Saccharomyces cerevisiae S288C: one gene and its partners. The protein of the gene in region 2 interacts with the protein of the main gene of each other region in a biochemical or structural test. Each region holds a gene or a part of one and is shown on either strand. Other genes may lie near its edges.

Region 1 (3,757 bases), on a different chromosome or scaffold from region 2:
ATACAGTGGCTGTCAACGTTGTAAAGTGCTAGTAGAGAATGAGCGGCGAGATTTACAGACTGAACATTCTTGTACAAGTTACAATGATGATAGAGGAAAAATAAGCTATGATAAATAGTTCATAGTAATGCAGGTGGGGATGATGCAAGCGGGCCTATTTATTTTGAAATAGTACTGAATGGTTTGGAAAAGGTGGAATTTTCAATCTGCAACGATATCGCGCTCAACATCTTTAACCTGTCATCATCGTACGTATTTGGGACTTCAATTGAAGGCAATGTAATGATAGTGCTATCTGCCGATGTGCTTGACCTCGTCACTCGAGGCTCTTCTTTACCGGGAGTGCTTGCATCTTTCGTTGAAGAATGTGCACTCAAGACCTCAGATGTGGAGTGTGGCCTCATTGGATTGGACTGTTTATTACTACAAACCAAGGGATATTGATGGAGTGTCATGTGATAGATAATTTCGTTGATTGGTGCCAAAGATGCATCAAACCCATAATCTTTGACAAGAGATCCCAGTATGAGATTCAGCACTCTCACCTGAATTTTTTCTTGTGATAGGTCAGCGAATAGTTGACGTGTAGCGGGCATAAATAGCCTTTGCGATAGAATAGTCAAAAATTCGATTGATGACAGCCGTTCAGTAAGATATTGCTTAGTAGAAGACGGTAAATGTGAAAAGCTGTTTTCTACCACAAGGGAAATGGAAGCCATTAGTGAATTTTTGCCCAGCGTTTCTAGATTAGCAAAAGAATCCAAATTTCTTTCATCCTTAGACATCTCCAAGCACGTCCTTGAGTTATGTATCTTTGACAGGATGAGTTTTCTCAAGTTGTTGGATATTACAACTTTGCTTTGGCACCCTTTTTTTTTCGTTAAATTTGGTCTAATGAACTTATCTCTTTGAATTTGTTCAGGTAGTGGAATAGCATTATTTACAATTTCAACAATTATTGATTTGGCAATAAAGTCGTATTCTTGTTCACTTTCTAGAGGCTGATCTTCTATATCAAACTTTTGTAATTTTTCATCGCCGCCGTGCGCATACGGTGCCGATGGATCACGAAGAAGAGATGCGTTCTTCTTAAGTAAAGAGCGAACTTGAGTTGGTACAGGTGGAAGAGTGCGGCCATTCGGATAAGGTAACAATTTTTGTGATGTTATAGTATTAAGAGAAGGAAGAGCGTGCTCAGCAGGTTCTTCCTTCACGCTGGCTTCTTCGTCAGAGCTTGATGCATTGGAAGCTGAACAAGACCCCATATTACTTGAGCTGGGGGGAGACAAAGGAATTTTTTGAACTTTACCACGGGCTATTTTCTTCTTAGAGTCTAATAATTTTTTCTTGGAACGTTTCCTGTTTCTTCTCACCGATTGAACAGCAGCGGTAACCAACTTTTCAAATTCTGCCGAAAACGTATCAGGGTACTCAAATTCACTCCTTAATATGGTGGCTATTTGTCTTATATTATCATCTTGTTCACTTGCTTTGTGCTGGCTCAAGCCAAATGAGTCAATGAGTTCTAGTCTTCTGCTAGAAAACTTCTTCCATTTCTTTTCATCATTAAAGTTTAACTGAGCTCTGATTTTATGTGTAGTACCATAGCCCGTATACTTTCCTGTTTTATGGCTACCTTCCAAATGAATTTTGGAGTTCTCAGTATCGTCAATCATCTTGCAATTTTTACTCTGACTGTTGCTGTTTTTTTTGCTGAGATATTTTCCGGTTAAGATGTTTGAATATGCTAAAGGTAATATACAGCTAGAGAAATATGAAAAGCAAGAATATAAAAATAGAACAGGAGCACTTAGTTCGGTTTTTTGCCATCATGTTTAATATATATATATATATATATATATATATATATATATGTGCGTGCGTGTGTGTGTGTGTGTGTGTGTACATGTATGCGGCAGCTAAAAGATGACGAGTACCTTCTAACGGCCATGTTATTTTCTACAGAAAGCATCTCACTTTGAGCGCCCAGAAAAAAGAAAAGGGAGAACAAAGTGATTAATTTTGCCTCTCGATTACATTATGAGGTGGCACTATTTGTCACATTTTATGTTTTTCATCCCGCACTTGGCTTTCATGAGAAAAGCATGTAGGACGCTTGAGTTTGGCATGCGAGAGAAGAGGCGTGTCAGAAAAAAAAACGCCTTTTGCTCTTGAGAAGAGCGGCAAAAATTGCCGAACAGGTGGAATTTCTCGACCAAAGGTGGGGTAAATATCGGTTACCCGTTTGCGAGTTCCTTTACAGTCTCAATGATTTCCAAGATGACTAAGGGAATATTTTCCATGGTGCCTTTTGCCTCGCGTACACTCACGGCACTAATGGGCGATACGATACTATGATTGTGTTCGGGATTAGTTCGATTCAATCATTCGCGCACGAGGCATGGACAGAAATGGCACTGATTTTAGTCACCGAGTCAACAAAAATGAGGCGACTCGATCAAAGATGTTTATTGACTCGTTTTTGCAACTAGAGAAAGGCATTCTTGCACGGAGAGAATGTTGACTTTAGTTGGAGTACCATTAGAGAGATGCCATTAGAGAACATTGTACTGCAGTAACGATGAGTTTAAGTTTTTAAGTACGCATGTTTATATATGAAAAAAATATACATTGAGATTACGAATATATATACTTGTCAGGAAATGCCGGCAGTTCTAATGGTTAATCCTTGTCCTATTTCTTTACGCCATTTTCTTTGAATTGATCTTCTGTGACACCGGTTCCCATAGCAGCTGTTGCGCTAACACCACCTTGAGCTAACTTCAATAACCCATCGATGTACTCCGCACCAGACCATTTTTGATGTTTCAACACATCAACACCATCGTCCATTTCCCTCTGCTGAACATTCTGGGCATAAGCTTTCATCCCATCCTTGGCAAAGTCACGAGAGAAGTTATGGACAGCTAAAGCGTTAGTGTGTAAACCGGCCAATGTGATAAATTGCCAGATGTAACCTAGATCACCCAGCCTTTGGATGAAGGTGTGTTGTTCATCAACGGACATGGCTTTTGGCCAGTTAAAGGATGGAGACAAGTTGTAAGCTAGCCATTGGTCAGGGAATTTCTCTTTAACACCTTCTGCAAACTCCTTGGCCTGTTGGAAGTCTGGGTAGTTAGATTCCATCCATACCAAATCAGCATATGGAGCAAATGCACGGGCCCTCATGATAGAACATTGCGTCCCACCTCTGTAACGGTACAACCCTTCCCTTACGCGTGGTAGCTCCCAGTCGAAGAAAATTTCGTGGCCAAGAATTTCTTTAGCGAGCTTCTTGGCTTCTCTGTGGGATGTTTCAGTCAATGGACCCACTTTAGAGGTGAATTTCTTAATCAATTCTTGCTTATTTGACAGGGCTGATCTTTCAATTTCATCAATGACGGCTTCATGGAATAACTTGAGTCCAGCGTCTCTACACCATTTTTGTTCAATGTCAGCTAGTTCTTGTCCTGATGCACCACTCATGATGGCATCATTTAAAACTTCGGCAAATGGCTCGATATTTGGATTGGTGGCACCGACAATGAAATAATGATCTCTGGTATCGATGGTTGAGCTAATCAAAGTGGCTGCTTCTGAATCAGTCCTAGCAACGACAATTAAGTCAGAATGCATGATATCAGCACACATTCTAATAGTCACCAATCTGTTAACATGTTCCTGAACGGGTATAACACATCTTCCTGCCATATGCCCACATTTCTTATTTGTAGATGTCTGGTCTTCCATGTGGATC
Region 2 (3,757 bases):
ATATCCTACGAGGTTCCATTCGATCATTATATATTAGTGGTGTGGTTGAAACTATGGGAGACTCTTCGATAGGTGCCAGTTCACTTTTCCCTGGCGATAGTCCCCCTCTAACATTTAGTAGCGATCCTAAAAATTTGGATCTGCGTATCGTTTCTATTATTTTCTTTTCAGTATCCTGCAGCAGAGCTGTTTTTTCTTTTAGGTTGTTAGGAAGTGTCTCAGTAACAGGCGTTAATCCGGGATCCAGTCTCGAAATAGGCCTAGTATATGACGAAAGTTGATAACGATTCGTTAGTAAGGTGTCTATATCTTGCAATAGTTCTTGTTGCGAAAATTCGTAATTTATCAACGGGGACGACACTTTGTCATTTATTTTTTTCAGCTCTTTCATTCCATCAGAAACTTCGGATCCAAACTCGTCCTCATTAATCTTCTGTGCATTCACTGATTGCCTTTTTGCTTCCTGAACTTTTCTTTGAAGTTCAGCCTTTTCTCTTTTCGCCAATTCAAATTTCTCAGGCTCAAATATTTCATCAATCAGTGTAGCGAAGTTGGAACTTGTTCTCTTTGCATCCTTTTCAATGTACTCCCAATCATCATCATCTATTAGGTTAGTAAAGTTTGATAATGATTTTGATGTTAGTGAGCTTCTTTTTGTATTAGGCATATAAGATAATCTTTTGCTTGACCGTTTTTTTGAGTTCCTCTTGTGAGGATTCGGGACACCACTTGGCGTTGCTTGGGTATTTGCAGACGCTACGTTAATATGTGTAATTCTTTTACTACTTCTCAAAGGTATTGGAGAACTATCGGTAGGATTCGAGGACAGTAAAAAGGACGATCTCTTCCTGCTAGAAGAGAATTCCCTGGAATGCCTCTTGGATGTACGTCTGCGTGGCGTAGATTGTATGCTTCGGTTGTTCAATAATAATGATGACGATGACGAAAGTGTGCTAGATCTTTTATTTTTTTTGGTTTTCTTTATCTTATTGCGGTTCTTCTTATTCGATCCCCTTACAGAGTCCAGTTTGAAACGGTATAGTAGCGCATATAGAATTTTTTCTTTGTTGGTTCCATTCTCTTTCAGTTTAGATACGATGTCATCGGCGTGTCTACCATGCCAAAGTACCACCAAGTTTTGTAGGATTGAATCATCGATAGAGGCGCTAGTATGGTTGTTCGAGTCAGCCAGTGGATATAGATAGGTATTTTCACGAGGTAAATCTTTGATACTTTTGGAATCCTTAATGGTTTGATATTTTTTTAGCAGTGGATGACTAAGGATGTCTCTGATTTTTATTCTTTGCCTGGGATCTACAACGAGAATCTTGCCGATTAAATCTTGTGCATCTCTGGAAATTTCGGTGTCATTGGGCATTTCAAACTGGCCCTTTTGGACTTTCAATAACAAATCCCTAACATTACCGTTTTCTTCATCGAAGGGTAGTCTACCCGTTAAAAGGGCAAAGAGGATTACACCGCAAGACCAAACGTCGCTGGCAAATCCTTCATAGGGCAGACCTGATACGATCTCAGGAGCGGCATAATGAGGAGACCCACAAGAAGTTTCTAGCAGGTCGGCGTCTGTCTGTAAAGCTGCCATACCAAAATCCGCAATTTTGATATTATAGAAACTATCGAGCAAAAGATTTTCTGGCTTTAAATCCCGATGTACTATTCCTAGCGCATGGCAGTATGAAATGCCTATAATTATCTGTCTGAAGCAATTGATGGCCTCACGCTCGGGCAAGGGACCGTGGTCCACAAGCAAGTTGAACAGTTCTCCCTTTTCGGCGTATTCCAGGATAAGGTACAGGTTATTGTTGGTTTCCCAAACGTCGTAAAGACTCAGAACGTTTGGGTGGCTCAAAAGTTTCATAATAACAATCTCACGCTCGATGTTGTATGGCAGCACTGAATCGTCGTTACTGTGGTTTCCGTTGTTGTTGAAAATGGACTTTGAGATTACTTTGACGGCTGTTCTATGGCCCGTGCGCTCATGTTGCGCAAGTTGGACCTTGCCGGTGCTACCAAAGCCCAGTGTTTCACCAAGCTTCCATGGGCCTATAGTACTCGATGGTTTAGCAGCAGAATGGGTCTCGGTATTCGCCACAGTCATACTGCAGTAGTTCTGGTAATTTACGTCAGCACTATTATCAAGCCTATACACGTTTATTGCACACTCTATTATGCTATTCTACGCTGTTGTATCCAAATTTACATCTTCTTTTTTAGTTTTCATGTAGTTTTCAAGAGAGCCCTTTTACTAAGACTGCGTTACGCGTTTTCTTGCACAGCACGCGAAAAAAAGAACGAGATGTTTTCCTTTTAAGGAAAACATATTAGCATAAATCGTCATTGCTGAAAGAGCGCCTTTACCTCAACCTACCATGGCAAACATAACAGAAAACATAAAAAAATTATCCTAGAGCCCAATGTTCCATGAAAAGAGCTGTGGCAAGGACAGAAACAAAAAAAAAATCAAGAACTCAACATTACCTATATAATTTTTGTTTTCTCCCATTTTCAAAGTCATTTGTTTTCCATTTTGCAAAGCAATTATTATATCAATAAGCCTTTTGATGACTTTACCTAGCACTCTTTCAAATAGAATCTTCTTACGAAGGTGTGCATTCTCCCTTTTATACCTCGGCGGCTTCACTCGGCGGCTAACCCCTTATTTCCTCATTTCCTCGGCGGCTAAAAAGGGACTTTGGAGAAATCTTGCATCCGTGCCTCCCACGGCATTTTTTTTTGGTTTCTTTTTTTCCTTGACCGGCATAATAGAAGAAAAAAAAAAGCGCGCCGTTCTTCAGTGCCGCTTGAGGGTGCCGTCTAAGCGGCACTGATCTGCTGCAAAAAGCTGCAACTTTGCCGTTGATGGCACTCCCAGTGGCACCATCGCACTAAATAACGGTCTCATCGAGTCATAGATAAGCAGGTTGCAGTATCCGGCCAACTTTCAACTCCCCCACGTCCAGCGGATTGCTGCTCCTTAGTAGTCCACAGTTCTTAAGTTGCGCTGCGAGGCTCTTTTTTTAGTGCCTTCTAGCCATTTCTTCCAGCTTGGCAGTGGTTATCTCTTTCACTGAACCGCAAATCAATCCTGATAAGACGGCTAAGATGCATAGGATAGGTCGGCTATACGTGTGTCTTGCGCTATCTTCCCCTCGTCCGCTAACAAGACTCATATCCTTCGTGATTAGTTTCTTTTTGTTATTTTCCTCGTAATACTCATTTGTTTTACATACATATATAAGTGCTTTGTCTTTGATGGTCTGCCCACAACAATGTAGAACAAGTTTATTATGTAATCTTTATAGAAGAAGCACGCTAATATAGACAAAGATAGCTTCGCACAATGTCGTCGTCGAAGTCTCTATACGAACTGAAAGACTTGAAAAATAGCTCCACAGAAATACATGCCACGGGGCAGGATAATGAAATTGAATATTTCGAAACAGGCTCCAATGACCGTCCATCCTCACAACCTCATTTAGGTTACGAACAGCATAACACTTCTGCCGTGCGTAGGTTTTTCGACTCCTTTAAAAGAGCGGATCAGGGTCCACAGGATGAAGTAGAAGCAACACAAATGAACGATCTTACGTCGGCTATCTCACCTTCTTCTAGACAGGCTCAAGAACTAGAAAAAAATGAAAGTTCGGACAACATAGGCGCTAATACAGGTCATAAGTCGGACTCGCTGAAGAAAACCATTCAGCCTAGACATGTTCTGATGATTGCGTTGGGTACG
Region 3 (3,757 bases), on a different chromosome or scaffold from region 2:
AACTGTAAAACTTCTCTCTCTTCACAATAAATGTGACGATATTTCCGGATCATTTTGTTTAAAGCCAAAAGGAAGGTCAGGTTGGTGACGCTCCGTTAGATATAGATGGAACAAAAGAAAAATAGTGCACTTCTGGAACGTTTGAAAAAGGATTTTTTTAATATTGTAAAAAATGTCAAACTGTGATGCTATGGTCTCAAAGAGGTGTTTCTATTCTTTGATTTTTTTCGGTTGTCCTGATCTTCAAGGCTTAACCTAATAGCCTCTCTAACCATTTGATCTTCAAGTTCGTTTATTGTCGGTTCAGGAGATCTTGAAGCTGACGTACTTTCATCATGAATAGGGGTTATACTGTGACTTGTATTTCTCCTTCTGCTATGGCTTGGATCGATCAACCTATTACTTATATGTATAGCGGTGGCATTCGCGGATCTCCTCATCAACCTTGCCCTTTCTTTGTTCAATTTAATCTCCCAATCAGGACGAATGGTATCCGAAGTAATGGCTGATATGTTTGGCTGACCGCCATCAGCTCTTGATATGGCGGCGTCCTTATACACGTATGAGTCGGCTGGCATACCCCCTATACCAGTTTCACGATTTGTGGGTGGTTGATAAGTGATGCTAAAACTAGCAGTTGCACAGTAGGGGCAATTTGCTGGCTCAGAGGTAAGAAGATTTGGGTCCTTTTCACTGTCATTAGTTTGTGGTTCAGTTGGGTCTACTTCGTCATGAGGGAAGTGAGGATCAGCTCTCTTAATCTGTACAAAACACTCGGTACAAATAGGCTGTTGACAACATTTGGAATAGTTGAAAGGCCCTGGAAAGTATAAAAAACAAATAGGGCATTCCGACCCATTTTTGTAAAGAGTATACTTCAAATCGTCACTTGGTAAATGGTAATTTTTCCTTGGCTGGCTACTGGTATTATCTTCAACATTGCTGGACTTGCTGCCAATTCTTTTCATTTCCAATTTCCTCTCCAAAAACGTCTCATTTTCATTTTCTTGCCATAAAATTCTTTTCTTATACAATCTTGCTCTAAAAATCTTTGCGTGCATTCTTCTCTGTTCCTTCTTGGATAAAGATTTGTCTATTAATTCATTAAATGTTGACTTCCTTAAATTGCCTATCGGTACGTCTTCGAATTCTTCCAAATTTTCATCGAACGTGTCATGCAAGGGCAATCCGTCAACAATTTTTATCAACTCATCTCTAGTCCAACTTTCATCAAAATCCTGCAAAGGAGTGTAAAACGGCGCTAACTTTCTTTTGATTATTAAATTTTTAACGACAGTAGCATCATAGTCCAACTTTTCAAAAGAATAACAGCCAAATGGGGCCAAAAACCCCCCATCTACAGTTTCGCTACACCTCACAACCAATTGTTTAGCATGTGCCTCTTTAGCAAGCTCTTTTTCCCGTGACGTCTTTCTTCTACTAGTGCTGGATAGATGAGAACCAGTTTTTGTACGAGCATTATTCCCATTTAAAATATTATTGACCAAAGACGTCGTGCGTCTCGTTCTCACCCTTGAAGAGGCTTCTTCATCATATTGTTTGATGACAGAATTCGATGATGTAGTATTATATGAGGAATCTGGCCTGACATCATTAAAACTATCTTCCTGGTCTATTTTCCCTGGAACATTACCCATGGTTTGTTTGCTACTCTGGGTTCGGTTTATACTAGCTAGATTATTTGGTTCTAAGGTGCTTCTTCGTTTACTAAAACACCCACTACATCAGCTCGATGATGAACCTTCACTTGCCCCTTTATACTCTAAAAACCTTGTCGACCCATTTAAGGAAGTTGTTACCCGGTTAAAGTAAAGGTGTCATTAAAATAGTTTCGTACTGGCAAAGAATACGGCTTTTATACATAATTCGAAGTGAAATGGCATAAAAAAGTTACAATTTATTTTGGCTTTACCTTATTTTTTTCATAATTTGTATTCATTATAACAGTAATGATAACATAATACTGTTACTACTAATAATGATAAGAATATGATGGTAATACAAAAACAATACTCATAATAATAACAGTAATAATAGTACTAAAAAAAGACATACGTATATATGTTCCTTCCTTCTCCCATTATTCTTGCCTGGGCTCCCTCCGGTGCTATCATTACTTAGACTTCGGATATAGCTTTTTTTTTACAGATGATAGTTCATCGGGAGATAGATGGCCCAATTCGACATTTTCATCGAACTCTAGCAATTTTAAATCAGTTGTTATTTGATTTATTTTACCGTCATCAAGTTTTAGTTCATCAAAATATGGACTACACAGGCATTGTAGAGCATTAAATCTTTCTAGTGGATCATATTTCAAAACGTCAGCTAGAAATTCCACAGTTTGATCATCTTCTTTCTTGAAAACACGTGACAATGGTATTGGTTTAATTTGCGGGAACTTATGCTCCATATAATTGGGATTCATAGAGCAAATTTCTTGCTTTGATGGAGTACCTAAGATTTTAATGATTTCCACTAGTTGATCAATACCACTTTCTCCAGGGAACATTGGTTGGCCCAATAGCAGTTCCGCCATTACGCAGCCAGAGGACCATATGTCGATTTGGTTGGTATAATTTGTTGCGCCGAAGATTAGCTCTGGTGCTCTATAGTACCGTGAACAAATATAGGAAACGTTAGGTTCAGTAGGTTTCAATTGCTTTGCACTGCCGAAATCGCACAGTTTTAAGGACCAGGTCTCAGGATCTACTAATAAATTTTGAGGCTTAATGTCTCTATGACAGACGTTCGCGAAATGATGGAGGTAATTCAATGACTTGAACAATTGAAACATGTAGTACTTTATTTCCAATCTTGACATCGGCGTACGTTGATGGACGAAATGACGTAACCTCTGGTACAAAGATTGTGGCATGTATTCTAGTATCAAATTTAAATAAATCTCATCTTGGGAGTCCCTTTCATAGAAAAAGTACTTCAGATCTATTATATTTATGTGACTCAGCATTTTCATTATTTCCAGCTCTCTGTTCTTGAATCGTTTATCTTGCAGGACTTTCTTAATAGCAACTTTTTCATTAGTTTCTTGAATAACAGTGGCAAATACCACACCAAACGAACCATGCCCAACTACTTCGGTGGTAGGGAAAGATATCTGCACCGGATCATTCGGGTCTATCGTAGGTGGAGGATGGGCGTAGTAAACCTGTTTTGACACTATGTTATTACTGAGATTCGGAGAATTATTGCTTTGAATATTCATCCTGCGCGAGTTCTAGCGTTGCGTGATTAGTGTTGCCGTGTTGTAATGTAATGCTATGTCAAGATCTTGCCCAGTAATGTGTGAATCAGACGTCGGTGGTTGGCTATTCTGGAAAAAAAGGTGTTAAAATGCAATGCGCCAGAAAGAAAAGGAAATAAGACAATGGCAACGACCGATTGGAAATAATCTGCTGGTCTTCCTACCACTCCTTCTTGTGTAAGATCTTCAATGGACCCGTGCTTTGTAACCCGCAAGCCTTACAGAACCCCTTGGTAGTATTATTATCCGGAGTGAGCAGAAGCCACGAATGCGCACAGTCGGCGGGTAATGAACTATCACGCTATAAATACTGACATTATTTAAAGTTTTTATATGGTGCTCACATCTTAGACGATTATTGGGTAAAATGGCAGGATTCCACCAGACGGTCACGCAGGTTATCAATACCTTCTCCGGTAACGCCACTACATTTGACGAGCTCTATTCGGATGTCCGGCTTGAACAGACACT

What was found.
Region 1: of the proteins of KCC4 (region 2) and VHR2, one has a biochemical effect on the other in vitro, tested with the Saccharomyces cerevisiae proteins (one large-scale study listed by BioGRID).
Region 3: the proteins of KCC4 (region 2) and SIP5 form a complex in vitro, tested with the Saccharomyces cerevisiae proteins (one large-scale study listed by BioGRID).

What each region holds. Positions count from the first base shown.
Region 1 is NC_001137.3:282,547-286,303, forward strand, and holds VHR2 (Vhr2p), read right to left. Parts: upstream 1,677-3,757; coding exon 159-1,676; downstream 1-158. Other genes in the region: ICL1 (isocitrate lyase 1), read right to left, coding at 2,695-3,757. UniProt on the Saccharomyces cerevisiae protein: Transcription factor that regulates ERG9, but seems to have a more global function in transcription.
Region 2 is NC_001135.5:77,524-81,280, reverse strand, and holds the start of KCC4 (serine/threonine protein kinase), read right to left. Parts: upstream 2,120-3,757; coding exon 1-2,119. Other genes in the region: amino acid transporter AGP1, read left to right, coding at 3,362-3,757. UniProt on the Saccharomyces cerevisiae protein: Involved in regulation of bud growth during cell cycle and in septin organization. Plays a role in cell wall synthesis.
Region 3 is NC_001145.3:545,615-549,371, reverse strand, and holds SIP5 (Sip5p), read right to left. Parts: upstream 1,659-3,757; coding exon 189-1,658; downstream 1-188. Other genes in the region: serine/threonine protein kinase RIM11, read right to left, coding at 2,135-3,247; Arf family GTPase CIN4, read right to left, coding at 3,642-3,757. UniProt on the Saccharomyces cerevisiae protein: May negatively regulate the SNF1 kinase by promoting the interaction of the REG1/GLC7 phosphatase complex with the kinase. Deletion of SIP5 promotes resistance to artemisinin, which is probably an indirect effect of an action on the electron transport chain.